2 linked regions of the Struthio camelus genome follow. The protein of the gene in region 2 purifies or fractionates together with the protein of the main gene of each other region. This does not show direct contact. Links are inferred from orthologs where the notes say so. Each region holds a gene or a part of one and is shown on either strand. Other genes may lie near its edges.

Region 1 (6,925 bases), on a different chromosome or scaffold from region 2:
CAGAAATAACATGCCACTTCAGTAGATCAAAGTGGAAGAACTAACACAAGGTGGAATTTCATCCTGTGCATGCTTGAGCTGCTGTTTTAACAGCACAACCATGAATAAGCACTCAATGATGCAGCAGAGGAGGATTCAGGGAAGGAGGGTGAGTTGTGGGCAGTAATCTCCCTATGACATTATCTGAGTTAAGTCTATCTTAAAGAAAGCCTTTGTACCATCCAGATAACAATGGAGAAAACAGTAAGCTGTGAGCCTTAGTAATACTGGTCTTATCCAGATCATCCCCCTTATTTTCTTACAGGAGGAAAAAAAGAAAGCACCATATGTCCAGCCTGACAAGGTAGATTGCTGCAGTACGCTTAGAAGCCACTTTCTTAGGGAGCATATATTCACAGTAACCATAAACTTGATCACAGGCCTTACTCTGCAGGCAAAGGGTGAAAACAGCCTGGGCTGATACAGCCAAATTTGCAGCTGTGGTCTAGTCAAATGCATATGTAAGAGCTGAGAGGAAAAACAAAGGGTGTTGACTATGAAGCAGGGAGTGACTGAACCCTGTTTACATAAAACATGGAGTAAATCTACTAGAAGAAGGAAAAAAAAAAAAAGTAGAAATTGTTTGTTTGATTATTCACATGATACCCATTTTCGTTATAATATTTTTTTACTGTGTTTATAGATACTACTAGCTAGCTAGAGGAACAAGGTACCTGGATCTCCGGATAAGCTTTTTATTTCCTGATGCAAATGTCATTCTGGGAAACTTAATGTCTGCAGCTGAAACTGGAAGGTTGGACAGCCAACTTCTCATAATGTGTCTTCAGTTAACACTTGGTACTGTGAAGGTTTGTATCATAGCCATTATTTCATTTGTGCCTTCCTCTCTCTCTCCCTCTCCCTCTCTCTCTCTCTCTCTATTGTTTCTTTCCTTCTTAAGGTAGCTGATCTTGCTTGGCCCCGTTTGAGGATCTGACTCCCTCTAAACCATAGTTTCAGGTAGACCAGTCTATCCTACCCAACCTTGCCCAAGTGATATGAAGTTAATAATACAGGTCCATGACATAATGATTGAGCCAGGAATCAAGATCTGTCTGAAGAATAGTATTTAAACAGTATATTTAAAACAAACAAACAAACAAAAAAATCACTTCCCCAGGACAGCCATTTTCTAACAACTCAATCAGTAAGCATAGAGCAGACCTCAAGCTAACACTATTGTGCTAGTAACTTAGTTTTGTGTCTTTTTCTACATCAGCAAGTAGGAGATCCCAGCAAAGCAGATCTGCAGAGCGTGCAAGATGGGGCTGAGGACCCAATATCAGCCCTATATGTGTTTTTGGGCTAGTCTGGAGTAGAATTCCAATCTGTTCTGTTGGCCTGAATAGCCATTAATGGCTGGGATATATTAGCTGCTTTCTCAAAGAGTGAATTTTCAGTTCTCTCTACATTTGAAATGAATCTAGTTTCAGCTCTGAGACTTTTCTGCAGTGCAAACCAAAGCACAGTGAGCAAGGATGATGAGATTTGCTTCAGAAGTGTACTCCTGGCACAAGCTAATTTAGACTTATCCTCTGACTGTGCAGCCAGAGTATAGTCAACTGTGGTGATAACTACAGTGAAGCTAAAAGATAGTGGTAAGGATGCAAGGAAGCACAGAGGAGAGGCAGGAAAGCTGTGTAACCCTCACTCTACAGTAATGTTGAACTGTTTTTAGGCTTATTTGAGATGATGACACAGCCAGATCACTAGGAAGATATTTGCAGGTATATAGCAAGCACAACATTCAGTTGAGAATCTTTAATGGAGCCCTACAGGATACTGGGAACCTAAAGCTGGAATTTACGGCTATTCCTGCAATAGTTAAGGTTGTTTTCACAATCCGAAAAGGAGGAGGTCGACAGTTCTCTTGTAGATCTTACTAAAGACCTTAGATCTTTCATAGTCTCCCTTGTGACTCTATTCCCTTGGGTGTCATAGCTCCAGGAGGAACTAGACCACAAAGAAGTCAAGTACTATTCAATTAAAAATTCAAAACCTCCAGCATGTCTAGCAGTTCTTTTTCTGTTTCCTCAGCTAGGATCTTCTTGCTATGGTCTCTTATCCAACAGTAATTACTAGTTGCTGTGTTGATATAGCATGTTATAAGAGTAAGTGATGTGTCTTTCTGTTCCTTGAGACGCTACCAGACGTGCACGGTAACCCTTGTACTTCGGTTCTTGGCTGTCTGCTCTTATGGGACTTTGCTCATGTTGTTGGCATTATGGATTTCTGAAGAATCAGTCTTAAATTCAAAGCAAGGTTTATGTAATTCTCATCAGCCTCTCCCACATTCCAATGTCGTTGCCTGTATCGTTTCAGGGGGTATTATTAGAATTAAAAGGTGTGGGTAACTAGTTCTACAACGGTAAAAGAAAGTAATTGGCCTAATTATTTAAACATATAGATTAGAGCATAGTAAATAGCAGTTGTAGCAGTTAACTTTTGTGTAGTGCTCTCTAAAATGAACTCTGAGCTTTGCTACTCCCATTTGTTCAGCTCAATTTTTTCCTCTTTCCTGGGATGTAGCCTATTTCTAGCACAGCTCTTTTGAGGTTCTTTAAAAAAAAAAAAAAACAAAAACAAAAACAAAAAAGGGATTTTGAAAAAGACAACTGATAGAACAGGGTAAGAACAGGTTAAGCTAGCAGGGTGGTGTCTGCTTTTATTTCTTCCAATAGAGTGGTTACTTTGTGGAAGAAAGTTTTTTGTTTTATCTTTCCTTATTAAGAGTTGCACATTGTTACTTTTTTAGCTGCGCTTTGCCACAGGAGCATGGCTACTTTATAAATAAGGGCACTTTCCTTTGTTTCTGAAGCCCAACCCCTTCAGTCTTGAAGAACAAGGCCCGTTTTTTTTTTTTTTTAATGTAAATAATGCACATCAGTATCATCTTCTGAAATGAGATAACGATAGCACTTGTTCACTACATGTAATAGTTCATATTTAAAACATATTCTGAAATGTATTTGTAGTTAGAGAATCATAAAATACAGCTTACAGAATCCAGGACAAACTTCTTGCAGGTAGGACACTAAAGTGTGTGGAAAGTGCTGTGAAGGAGGACCAGGCTTAACAAGCAAAACTGGTAGTATTTGGATTTTTATTGTTTGTTTTCTGTCTGTTTAAACACTTTTTCCTCCCAGATGTTGAAATCTAGTACTGCTAGGGCTTTCTAGAATAAAATTGAGCTATTTAACTTGAAAAGTTAAGTCTGTAGCTGGAATGACTTGAATGTCTGAGTTTTCCAAATTGCTAGAGAAAGTACATTTTGTGCCTTGTGATGACTGGTAGGGCTTGTATTTCAAAGAAAGCTTCTCTGAATTTCTCAAAGGCAGAGGGTTTTTTTAAAGGTATATTATAAAAGCATGCATTATTTCTTGAAAGGAAGCTGCACGTGCTAATTTTGTTCCTCTATACCGTCAGGGGAGACGGCAACAAAATTAGCGTAGGTTTGATGCAGTGACGTTTCTTTTATGCAAAAGAAAGAGGCTAGAGCTGGGAAGGCAGACTCCTCAACCCCCCTGCACTCCCCCTAAGACGCTTGGCGGAAAGACATGAACTCGAGGCCCGTCAGGTGGGACTGGTCCTTCGCCGCCCCTGACAGAGCCTCGGTTCCCTCAGTCCCGCCGGCGAAGCGAGGAGCCGCCTCAGGGCGGCCGTTACCTGCCGGCGCGCGCCCGCCGCGGCGCCTGCCGGGGGACGGGGGGGCGGGGGAGCCGCGCTGCTAACTGCGGCTGCGCGGGGCCCGCCCAGCGCCGCCTGCCGCCTGGCCAAGCGGCAGCGGCGGGCAGGGCCGCCAGGGGGAGCCGGCGGCCCCGCTTCCCCCCTTCCCCCCCCGCCCCAGCCTTCCGCGCTGGGCCGGGCCCGCCCCTGCTGCGGGTGGCCGCGGCGGCGTGCGCGACCCGGCCACGGCGGGAGGCGGGGCGGCGCGGCCGTGCTTTCTCTCTCTCGCTCGCTCTCGCTCTCGCTCCCTCTTCCCCTCCGCCTCCAGCGCACGGCCCGGCTGCGGCGCGCTGCCCCCAGCCCTCGCCGAGCGCCGCCGTCCCTGCCCAGCCCGAGGTACCACCGCTGCCGCCGCGGCGCTCCTGCTCCGGCCCCATGGAGGACTACCACAAGCCCGACCAGCAGACGCTGCAGGCCCTGAAGGACACGGCCAACCGCCTCCGCGTCTGCTCCATCAAGGCCACCACCGCCGCCGGCTCCGGGTGAGCGGGGTGCCTGCGGCGCCCGCCCCTGCCGGCACGTGCAGGGCGGAGGGGGAAGGGGCTGTGCCGCCTGCCCGCCGGCACGGGCAGAAACCCCCTCCTCTCTCCCTCCCCCTTCTCCGCCCATTTTGCAAAATACCGAGCGTGTGAGGGGTCCCGGGGGCATCCGCGGTGCCGGCGGGAGGGCAGCGGCGTGTATATGTGTGTGTGTGGTTGGGGGCGGGGGGTGGAAATCCGCGCTGTGAGGGATGGGGAGGCGGCGTGGGGGAGGGCTGGCGCCACGCGAGTCACGTCCACCTTGCCCGAGACACATCGCCGCGCCGCGGGCTCTGCCCGAAACCGGGCGGGGGGGGGGGCGCGAGGGTGGCCGTGCTCGACGTGAAATCATGGCGGCGGGGGGCGCGCGGCGGGGGCCAACGGCCGCCCAACGGCCGCCCTGCCCTGCGGGGTCAGCGCCTGCCGCGCCTGCAGGGAAAACCGCCACGGCCCAAGTTGATGCAGGGCTGCAAAAAACAAAGAATTTTTTGCCCGAGGCGCAAACGGTTTCTTTTTCATTCCGTGCCCGTCAGTTGGAACTAATTCTCCACAGAATTTCAAGTGAGCCCAAGTGGGATTATCTGTGAAATGCCAGCAGTCTCCAATGGGCAGTTTATTCAGGCCTCTGGACAGGATTTAGTTTAGGCTCTGATGTGTGCAGATTCCAGGGTTATCCTTCCTTTGATCGTGCTGTACCTACGGAAAAAAAATCTCGGCAAACAATCCTTTTCTGCTCATGTAAAATTAAAGCCATTTTTTCTGCTTGAATAATACACTCGAGTGCCTCAATATGGGCTACTGCTCTTTTATATCCTATTTTCCTGCAATTTCCTCCCTTTTGACATCTTTGAAACTAGCTGTAGCATTTCCAAAAAAGAAAAAAAAAAGTTAAAGGATACTAAGGCTCGTGTGGAGAAAGCTGATCTCTAAAATTTCCTCAAGCTTCCTCTCTGAATTGCCTTAGATTCTCCAGCCTGTTTCTGGCATGGGCTACCTCTCATGGCGTTTCTCAAAGCACTCAGAAAGTGAACTTTGCTCGTTCCTTTCACACATAGCAAGTGAAAATGCTGCTCTGGTTCTTTCTGCAAAATGCAATGCTGGGAGGACAGGAACCTCTCGGCCAGCCCAGCCCCGGGAATGGGTTCTCGCTAGGTGGTAGCTTGTTTGATCCGGTCTGTGGAGAGAAGTGCAAGATGCCCAGCGGTTGCTCTTCACTTCTTGATTTCTTTCAAAGCTACAATGTATAGGTAATATTACACGAGCCTATATGAAATTACAGGTAGGGAAAATGGGCTAAATCTGCTTAGTACAGCTGAGGCTTCAGTCTTGAGCTTATAGTGCGTGCTTTAAGGTGGCCACAGAGGAGGTGTGTGATATCAGTTGTCTTGTCTACAGATATAGTTATCTCCCTGTTTTGTCTGATGTGCCCTTAAAGAATAAGGGACTTGGTACAGCCTTTGCTTTCTCTTCTGCTGTTCGTGAAATTCAATAGTAATAGTGTTCCTCCTATACTGATGAGCAAAGAGTAAAAATTATTTAAATTAAGGTTTTTATATTCCCCTGGTTCATATATGCTACAAGTGTGGCAAGTACTTCTTACACAAAGATACTTCATTAATATGTGCTATAGCTTATTCTGGCATTACTTATGACTTGTGTAGAGTGTGAAATTATTACGCAACCTGGTAGTGAGCAGATTATGAAAGATGGGAGGGAAGACTATGCGGACAGGTTGTATTTTCTGAATTAATAAGACTTGGTTACCAAGGTGGTGATGTAGTAATATGCTTAACGGAAAAGAAAAAGAAGTTTAGGGAGCTCACAATTTGTTGCAGTGTTAGTGAAGACACATGCATTTCTAAAAGGGATATACGTTATGTTTTTTAGATTCCCGAATGAGACAATAAGCTTAGCTTAAAGTGCTGGTATACAGTAAGAAAGTGGATAGATGTTTGAGCGCAGGTTATATTTAAATAGAGGCTTCCTGTTAATAAAAGATTGAGTCATGCTTACATTGACTTTTTCAAAGAAATTCATATTTGTTGAAGGTGTTGCTTTTATTGCAATTCACGCTTACAAACACTTCAAACAAAACAGAACCTGCCTACTTATTTCAAGGAAGTAATTTCTGTAAACTGACATGTTTTGCAAGAAATGTAGTACGATGGTAGATTTGACAAGCCAGGTCTTGCAGTCTTTACCCATATTAGCGTTTATTAAAGCAATTGCAGGCTTTGTCTGGACAAAGTCTGAAAGATCAGGTAATCCGATCCTGAAGATGCTCAAATACATGATTTTGATATGAGGACTGCTTTACCAGCTGCAGTGGAAGAACTCAGTCAACTGGAAACACTTTTATATACTTAATCAATTTTTCCCCACCTAAGGCGTTTCAAGTTAGTTGCAAAGATTGAGAACGTTTTTGCTTTTGGGTGTGGAAGTTTGTTTTTTTTTCTTTTAGATAAGTAGTGCAGACGTTTGGACCAAAACTGGTAGAATCCCATTTGTGGCTAGCGATAAATTTCTGCAGTTTTGAAACAGTGCCTGACTTCCTAGAATTAGATGGTTACGTTCTTGAAAGTGGAAGTTGCAAAGATTTCTTAAGAGGCAGTTAAATTCATAACATGAGGTATTATCGCTTG
Region 2 (7,925 bases):
ATGCTAGGAGAAGAGTTTGACTAAGCAGAACTGGCAGAAGCCATGATGTGCATGCAGTTTTGGCCTTTAGCACAGGAGCATTTGACTGCCTGGGAAGCCCACAAGCAAGCCACTTCATACTGCCATCATCCAGACAGGTGACTAGCAGCCACAGCTTGGTTTGGCAAGCAGTTGAACATTGTGCTATTCATTTATCAGTCACAGAAGTTGCGACTATGGACTTTAGGTGAGCATTTAAATCATATCACACTGCCAAGTCTACACCTATCTGTAGAAGACGGGCTGGTCTTGTACACTTGCTGCCACATTGGCCTTCAGTTCTTGCACAGCCCCTTTCCAGTGAGTATACTATTTGAGCCTGAGCAAGTGGTTTAAATAGTATGGGTATCAGACATGCAAAGGCCCCTTCAAGGAACTGGACTATGAAACTGCTCCCATGAAAAAAACTAGGCCTCAGCTCCATGTCTCAACTGCCACTGAGGCTCAGTAGTGTTCAGAACAAACAGACCCCATACTTGCACTCAGCACAGATCCCCTAAAAGAGAATGTCCTGTAAGCAGTACAGTGCCTGAGCTGACAGGTTAAGCACAGCCCAGGCTGAAAAGTTGAGCACAGCCTAGTACTCAAACCACCACCATGCCAGGCACACTCAGCTTCCTATTCATTTTAGAGTCCCCCTGCAGCTCCAATCCCTTCCCCAGATAATCCCGATTTTGCCACATAACAGGCCTGCATACAGGTCAATAGGTCCTTGACAGATGAAGGCCCATTGTGAAAGGCTATTTGCTGAGCAGGGCCCTGACACAGAAGCAAGTCACCACTGACCAAGTGGAACATTAACACATGAATCCCCTTCACCCACATCCTGAAATACCCTCACTCAGTAAAAAATAAATCTCTCTCCAAGCTGTGATTAAGCCAAGAACACATCTCAAAGACTACATCCTATCCATACTCTTGGAGCAAAGATAGCCAAGATACCATTCCAGTTAGCAGGACTTGTATTAACTGACCCTAGAAGACTTGCTGGAATTGCCAGTTTTCTCCCTAGCTTTGTCCTAGCATGATCCAGGAAGTGGTCTCCCAGGCAGAAAGGGGTCTCACTTAAAGAGCTGCTGGCTTAAAGTTGAACAGCTACCCAATAAAGGATCAGGCACATTAAACTCACCTTTCTGCATCAGTTGGTCCACCATGCTGCTTGCCTTCAGGATTGAAGTGGGCACCTGCACTGGTACACCCTGAAACAGATCAGACATCAGAAGTGTAGGTTTTCACCACAGCCAATATAAACCTGTCTACACAATACAACAAGGTAGTCCTCTCACAGAGAGAGGAAGCAAACTCTCTAATGATAAAATAGCTGTTCTCATGCCAGATATTATCCTGATCCATTGGAGGCAAGTAACCTATGACAGACTTGCAAGCCTTACTGAGTCCAATAAAATATAACGTTCTGGAATACAGAACATTTTCAGATGTTCTTGGTTTAGCTGAAAGTAGCATTCTCAGTTCTTAACACCAGGTCATCGTAGTATTTTAGTGCTTGATATATCAGGTTCTGAAGACTAGTTTAAACATGTTTAGAGTATTAACTGGGAAATAATTTGTTAGAGAATGTCATCCTTTCATAAAACAGTCTTGCAGTCACCAGACTACCAAGTACATTTCATACTAGTCAGCACTGTAACACTAGAAGAAGCTCTTTACAGCTGAACAGTCAGGATACAGCTCTAACTGGAAAGCCTAGATACAGATCTTACCATTTGTGTTGTCCCCAAACTCATGGACATGGAAGCCATGATCTCCATCATCCAAGCATTCGATTTTTCCAGTAATTTTTACTGGTCCATCACCCTTCAGTAGAAAGAGAGTTTGTTAGCACCTAAATGACTACAGTATTAAGTGGGCTAATAGCAGCACATGAAGCTTTCTGGTCAACAGAAAGCACTGGAGACTCCACTGCAAGTTCAGCAACCAACATGAATGGTTACCCTCCTGCATGAATTGATTCCATCTGCCAAGACAGCATTTCACAGAAAACTTGCATTTGTTTAACCACCTAGAAAGCATTCCTCCGATTAATCTGTCAAACAAGAGGGATGCCTTCTTTAAGATTACCTGCTTTTAGTAACCACGTGCTTCAGCATGCAAGCACAAGCAACCCCAAACATCGGTGCTCCTTCGCAGGCACAGCATTACCTCAGTACAGTCCCAGCTATGGGGAACAGCCAACTCGGGAAGCGTGGAAAAGGGCTCAGACCACGCAGCAGACTGACCCACGTAAAGTCCCACCCTGGCAGCGACAAACAGGCTTCCCAGAAGGGCTGCGGCGGGCTCCAGTAACGAGCCTTGCCAGGGGGCCCCCAGGGGCGCAACAACCGCAGGCCTAACCCTCCCCCGTCCCCCCGTGACGGGGCCGAGCCGCGGCCGAGCCCGCGCGGCCCGGGGCAGCCGCCCCCGCGCAGCGGGCAATGACTCAGCACCTGGCGAGCCCCCAAGGCCGGGGCGGGGCTGAGCGGAGCGGGCCGCCCCACCGGTCCCTCACCCGCCGGCCCTTGCCTGCTGCTCAAAGTGGATGAGGCCATGCACGGAGCTGTCCCCCTTCATCACGCACACGGCCTTCAACGTCGCCATCTTCCCGCGGCGGCCGGACGAGCGGCGCAACAGCAACAACCAACGCAGCGAGCGCCCCAGCACTGCAGAGCCGCCCCCTCCGCCCGGCGGCTCTTATATAGCGCGTTCCTCCCCCCCCAACGCCGCAGCCAATCACAGCGCGCCTTTTTAGCTTCCTCGATCAATTACTTCGCGGGTTGCGGCCAATAAAGGGGGAGGGAGCGCCGCGGCGCCCGCTGCTGAGCCAATGGGCAGGTGAGGCGCCTCCCCCGGCCGCGGGGAGCGGGGGAGGGGCGGAGGGGGGGGCGCGCCGCCTTGTGTAACGGAGGCGCTGCGGGATTGACGGCGGCGATAAACAACGGCGCGAGGGCCGCCCCGCCTCCCCCCCCCCCCCCCGGCGCCTCGCGCCGCGACCGTTGGGGCGGTTGGCCGCCGCCCCGCGGGGGGTTGGCTGCGGGAGTGGCTGGCCCAGGTAGCTCGCGTTGGTTGCTGAACGGTCGCAGGGGGTTTGTCTCTTGTGTTTGCCGGCGCCGCGACGCTCGGGCGTTCGGGAAGCGGGGTGTTTCTTAAGCAGGCTCACTTTAAACCCTTCCCCTCCCCTCCCCCGCGAAAAGGATGAGCTTTCGGTTTTTAGGTCTCACCGCGTTAGGGTTTCATACTGACGTGAAAAACACGTTTTGTGACAGGCATGCACTGAGGCAGTAAGATTAAGAATCATCCGCAGCATTTTTTTGTCATTTTCTGCAACTTTTTTTTCCCTTCTGTGTATTGTTGTACTTTTTTTGTTTGTTTGTTTCCCTACTGAGAATTCCAGTTGAAAAGCTGAGCGCGCTTACAAAGCTGCCTCAGCCTAGCTTTGCGCTTCAAAGAAGTGGCCCTGTCCAGAAGGTGTTTTGTTCCCCGTGCAAAAGCCACGGGGGTTTCCGTCTGGAGTTGGTGGTGCTGCTGCTCAGCTGCTGACTGTCAGGTTACGGTGGGCTTCTCGGAGCCCCCTTTGCCCATCGGCTGCCCGCAATCACAGGCTGGGTATCTAGTACACAGCTCAGGCAGACTTGTGCTTAACGTGGAAAGTCTCTTGGTGTAGCCGCTGATGAGGACTACTTGTCTGAGGGGTGTGTAGGGAAGAGGTGACAAATTCTCTCCGTGCTGACAAACCTTAGGCTCCGAGGGAAAATTAACATCGGACTCAGGGAGGATATATCTGTGCACTTTTGTATGAAGAGCTGCAACCTCCAAGAGTTTTAAGAATAAAATGATCGCATTTAATAAACGCCTTTTTGGTAAAGCCATGTTCCTTGTTTTCCTGCTGCATTACTGATGAGCAAGTTGAATCAGAAGTCCAAAACGATCGTATAATAGCTGTACCTTGAGGCAGTCTGCGTGTATGACTGAGGGCCCTGGTGATCTTAAGACACCTGGCAGAGAATGCCCTATGGTTAAGGAAGGGAGCACAAGGCCTGTTTCACACGTTAGGCTCAGTTTTGAATCCCAGGAATTTTATGGGGGCCTGACGTTAATTGTGAGGAACAGAGATTCGTTTGGTTGAATGGCATATTTCTCTGAGAAAGAAGCAGCAGGAAGGAAAATGCCAAATACACAGGGAGCATTAGTCTGACAGATAGATAAAATGTTTGTAGTTTGATCCTGAAAAGATGCTGAGAGAGAAAGAGAGCTGGGCTGCATCCCAAATAGGAGGCGTCTCGGCACTGAGAGTTCATGATCTTCCTGGAGTTTAATTCCTGCTGTGCATGGAGAGAAAAGACTGTAAATTGCTCATGAACAAAGAAGTCTGTGGTAATGGCACAACCTCCATCATCCTGAATGTTGGCTGGATCAAAAGGAAATATTTCAGTGCCCTCAAGGCAAATGTTGTTTGATTTAAAAAATGGCTTGTAAACGTGGAAGGATAGTAGTGACTCATTATGCTATCTACCATCTTTGGCTTCCGATGTCCTTTTTTTTTTTTTTTGTCAGTGTCTTTTCATAAGGAGAAACATCTTGAGTGCTTTGCTATGGTGCTTCTTCTTATTCTTAGGCCTGTCTCCAGATCTGCCTTGGTTTTTATCAGACAGATTTATTCTTTCTTTCCTGGAGATAAGTTCTCAAGATCCACCCTTCTTCATGCCTCTACATGAATGTACGACAAGCAGATGGATAAGCAGCTCTACCAAAGAGAAGAGCCAGATGTGCCAAGCCTCCTCATACGTAAAGTGAAGTAATAATTTCAGAAGTTTGTCGCATTAGGTGTGACCAACAGGTTACAGAGTTCTATGAAAAAAGCCTGAACTCTGAGATGCCTGATCTCTCAGATAGAGTGCAGCTGACAAAGATGACATGTTAAGAGACAGCGTAGAGGTCAGCGGTAGAAGGCTAAAGGAAAGATATGATTTTGAAGGACTAACATACAAGAGTTTGTATGGTATGTGCAGATCAGTAATCACGTACAGGCTGTGGCCTCACCCTTTAGAGTGTTTTCTATTCCTACATGCGGTACAATAGTAATACAAAAATATTGGTTTACATGAATACTCTTTCACAGGAGTCTTGCGTAAGAAGCTAGAGATTTTTTTTCCCCACATACTTCCTTTTCACTCATTTCACTCATTTCACTTTTTACTTTCTTAAATCTTGCTAGCAGGGAACATTTTTTGTGAAAATCCACCACAAAGAAGTTGAACAAAGTGTCTGGTGGCAGTAACACATTGGTTTTTTTATTCAGAATATCAGAGTCAAACCAGAGAGGAAAGAACAAACTGCCAGGTGGGATTACTAACTTTGATAGCATGAACTACAGTCAGACAGGCGATTTGTCAGACATAAGAAAGGAAGTGTGGTCTCTTGCAACTTTGGCAGTTACTGTTTGACACCAAAGCCCCACTCTTTTTTGACCTATACTCTTGTTCTGCCATCTTACCTTGGAAAAAGTCTAAACTCGGGCCTGTTCGCACCTTCATAGCTGCAGTGATAACAAAGAGGACTGAACTGGAGCCCAGAGGGTTGAAGCAAGTATGGGAGTGACAGGCTTAGGGCTAGGTGGACACATGATTTTGAATATTTTCTCCATTCTGCAATTGGCTACATAGTGTATCCATTTTAGCAGGGGAATGAAGCCGTTCTTAGTGTTGGTCAAAAGGGCTGCTCACATCGCATAGAGAGACTCGCAGGTAAATCTCTGAAGAACTAGGATTCATGTTAGCCCTGATTGTTTCCTAATTTGCCAACTTAAAGCGCTAACGGCAACAAATGAAGTAGTGTGTCATGTGGGTTAACAGATGTCTAATCTACATAGACTCATCAACTAATCAACTTCTAAGCAAAACGTGCAAAAATAACAAAAAATCCCAAACTTTCTGTACTGTAAAAATATGGCATCCATCAAGCATTAAGCCTCTGCAGCACATTAACTCGCATTCTGATTCAGATTTTATATTGATTAAAAAATTAGAAGTTCAGGAGTTATGGTTCCCATGACAACCATACCTCTGAAGCCTTGTGCAAATGTATAGTATTTCTACTTCTGATGACTCTTCTGGAAAGATATGAGGTGAAACTAAGATTGCCATGGGAAGCATCATTCCAGGTCTCTTGAGCTTCTGTGCATAGGTGCTCACCCATCAAGATTAGATACGTTATTAATCTACGTTAATGTCATTTTTATGTTTATTCTTTCACAGTAACAAAGGTGAACTGAAACAACATGAATAATAATTCTTTCTGTAGGACCATTAATTCCTTGAATGTGCATCTCTGAAGGGGAGGCTGCTGGCAAGATTAAGTGCAGGTGAGCTTATTCTAGCATGCCAGGAAAGGAAACAACCATTACTTCTCTGCAGCCTCACGTTCCAGCAACTGAGGATCCTAGCAGGGCTGGATCAGAGCAGTCCTTCCTCCTGCTCTGGGAGCAGATTTATGGCTATTCTGAACCCATTTTTGCATCTCAGTGGGTGAGTGCGTTCTGTTTAGCTTAAAGGCCTGATTACACAAAGACAGTGAGCAGTGGCTTCCCGCTGCAGTAAATGCGTTGCTTGCCTGGTCTTCTTATCTAAAGCTTCCCTTCAGAAATGTGGAAGCTAAATTCCCAATGTTGGTATCAACTTGTGCTGTGGAATCATAGAAGACTTGTAGCATTTGGGAATCACTTAATACATAGAGAACACAAGATGTGCATGTCTGTTCAGGCGTACCCAGTAAGGAGAGTGCTGTACTGCATGTAGATAATTCTGTATTATGAATGGTCTAGAAGACGCTTGTGTGTGTGTGTATGGCGGGGGGGAGGTGGGGGGGAGGTCCTTCAGAGTCCCACAGTCTAGATCCTAAATGCTAAAATCTGCAAAAATCTAATGCTTGCCCTGTCCTTGGACTCAGCTGTCTACACATAGGTGTCTAGCCCCATCTGTGATACCTCCAGGTATCTCCTCTGGCCTCTAGCTGCTGCTGCAGGAGGGGTCCTTGAGCTCCTGTTGCCTACCTGCCAGCCCCTGTGCCCCCCTTCAGGCTCTCTGTTGCATTCCAGAGAGCCCCAAACACCTATCCTGAAGAACCCAATCCAACCCTGAGCCTTTGCGTTGTCCTGGAAAATGCATCGTGTGCCATTAAAGTCTTCCCATTTGATTACATGTGGGTAATGACACTTCCCTACCTCTGAGGGATTCTGGGAGAGGTAATTAACTCAGTTAATGTTTGTATAGCATTTTGAAGATGAAAAGCACTGTGGAAATCAGGAGTTATTACATTAGAAACTTTGTGACAGACTCCCTAGTGCAAAGCATGTAATTCCAATTAAGAGTTAGTAGAGCTGATAACCAAAGTATTCATATAATTAAAACAGTGCCAGCCTAGAAAGGCTTTGAATGGAACATAAAAGATTAAACATAACATTCACTTTTGACATCTTGTTGTCCTTTTAGTAGCTAAATTGAGGTATTAAGTCCCTAATTCTGCGTTGCTGTACAAGCTGAGTACACTTGAAATATGATCCTCAGAGGACAAGTTTGTGTAAATATTGGTGAAGACCTTTGTACCCAGCACCAGCACTTGAGGCCACAAGTTACGACAACCCTTCTCAGGCACTGGTGCTATTCACGATCTGTCCGCTGAATTTTTTTGCTGGTTAACATTCAAAGAGCTGGATTTTAAATACTTCAGACAGGGCCAAAGCCTGCTCGTGTTACTCCAGTGTGTATTTCTGGTGAATCCAATGGATTATGCGGTTCCCCTGCTGAACCACCACAGGACTGGCCGTTTCCACTCTCCCTCTGGGGAGTTTGGGGGCCCTGCTGTGCAGAGAGCTGGTGATCTAAAAGTCAGCAGTG

The links.
Region 1: the proteins of SOD1 (region 2) and TKT purify together in Homo sapiens (affinity purification with mass spectrometry; 3 studies listed by BioGRID, with this or other methods). This does not show direct contact. The link is inferred for Struthio camelus from reciprocal best matches to the Homo sapiens genes SOD1 and TKT.

What each region holds. Positions count from the first base shown.
Region 1 is NC_090955.1:17,493,435-17,500,359, forward strand, and holds the start of TKT (transketolase), read left to right. Parts: upstream 1-3,913; 5' UTR 3,914-4,140; coding exon 4,141-4,247; intron 4,248-6,925. UniProt on the Homo sapiens protein: Catalyzes the transfer of a two-carbon ketol group from a ketose donor to an aldose acceptor, via a covalent intermediate with the cofactor thiamine pyrophosphate.
Region 2 is NC_090942.1:119,551,598-119,559,522, reverse strand, and holds the start of SOD1 (superoxide dismutase [Cu-Zn]), read right to left. Parts: upstream 3,008-7,925; 5' UTR 2,635-3,007; coding exon 2,560-2,634; intron 1,855-2,559; coding exon 1,761-1,854; intron 1,239-1,760; coding exon 1,169-1,238; intron 1-1,168. UniProt on the Homo sapiens protein: Destroys radicals which are normally produced within the cells and which are toxic to biological systems.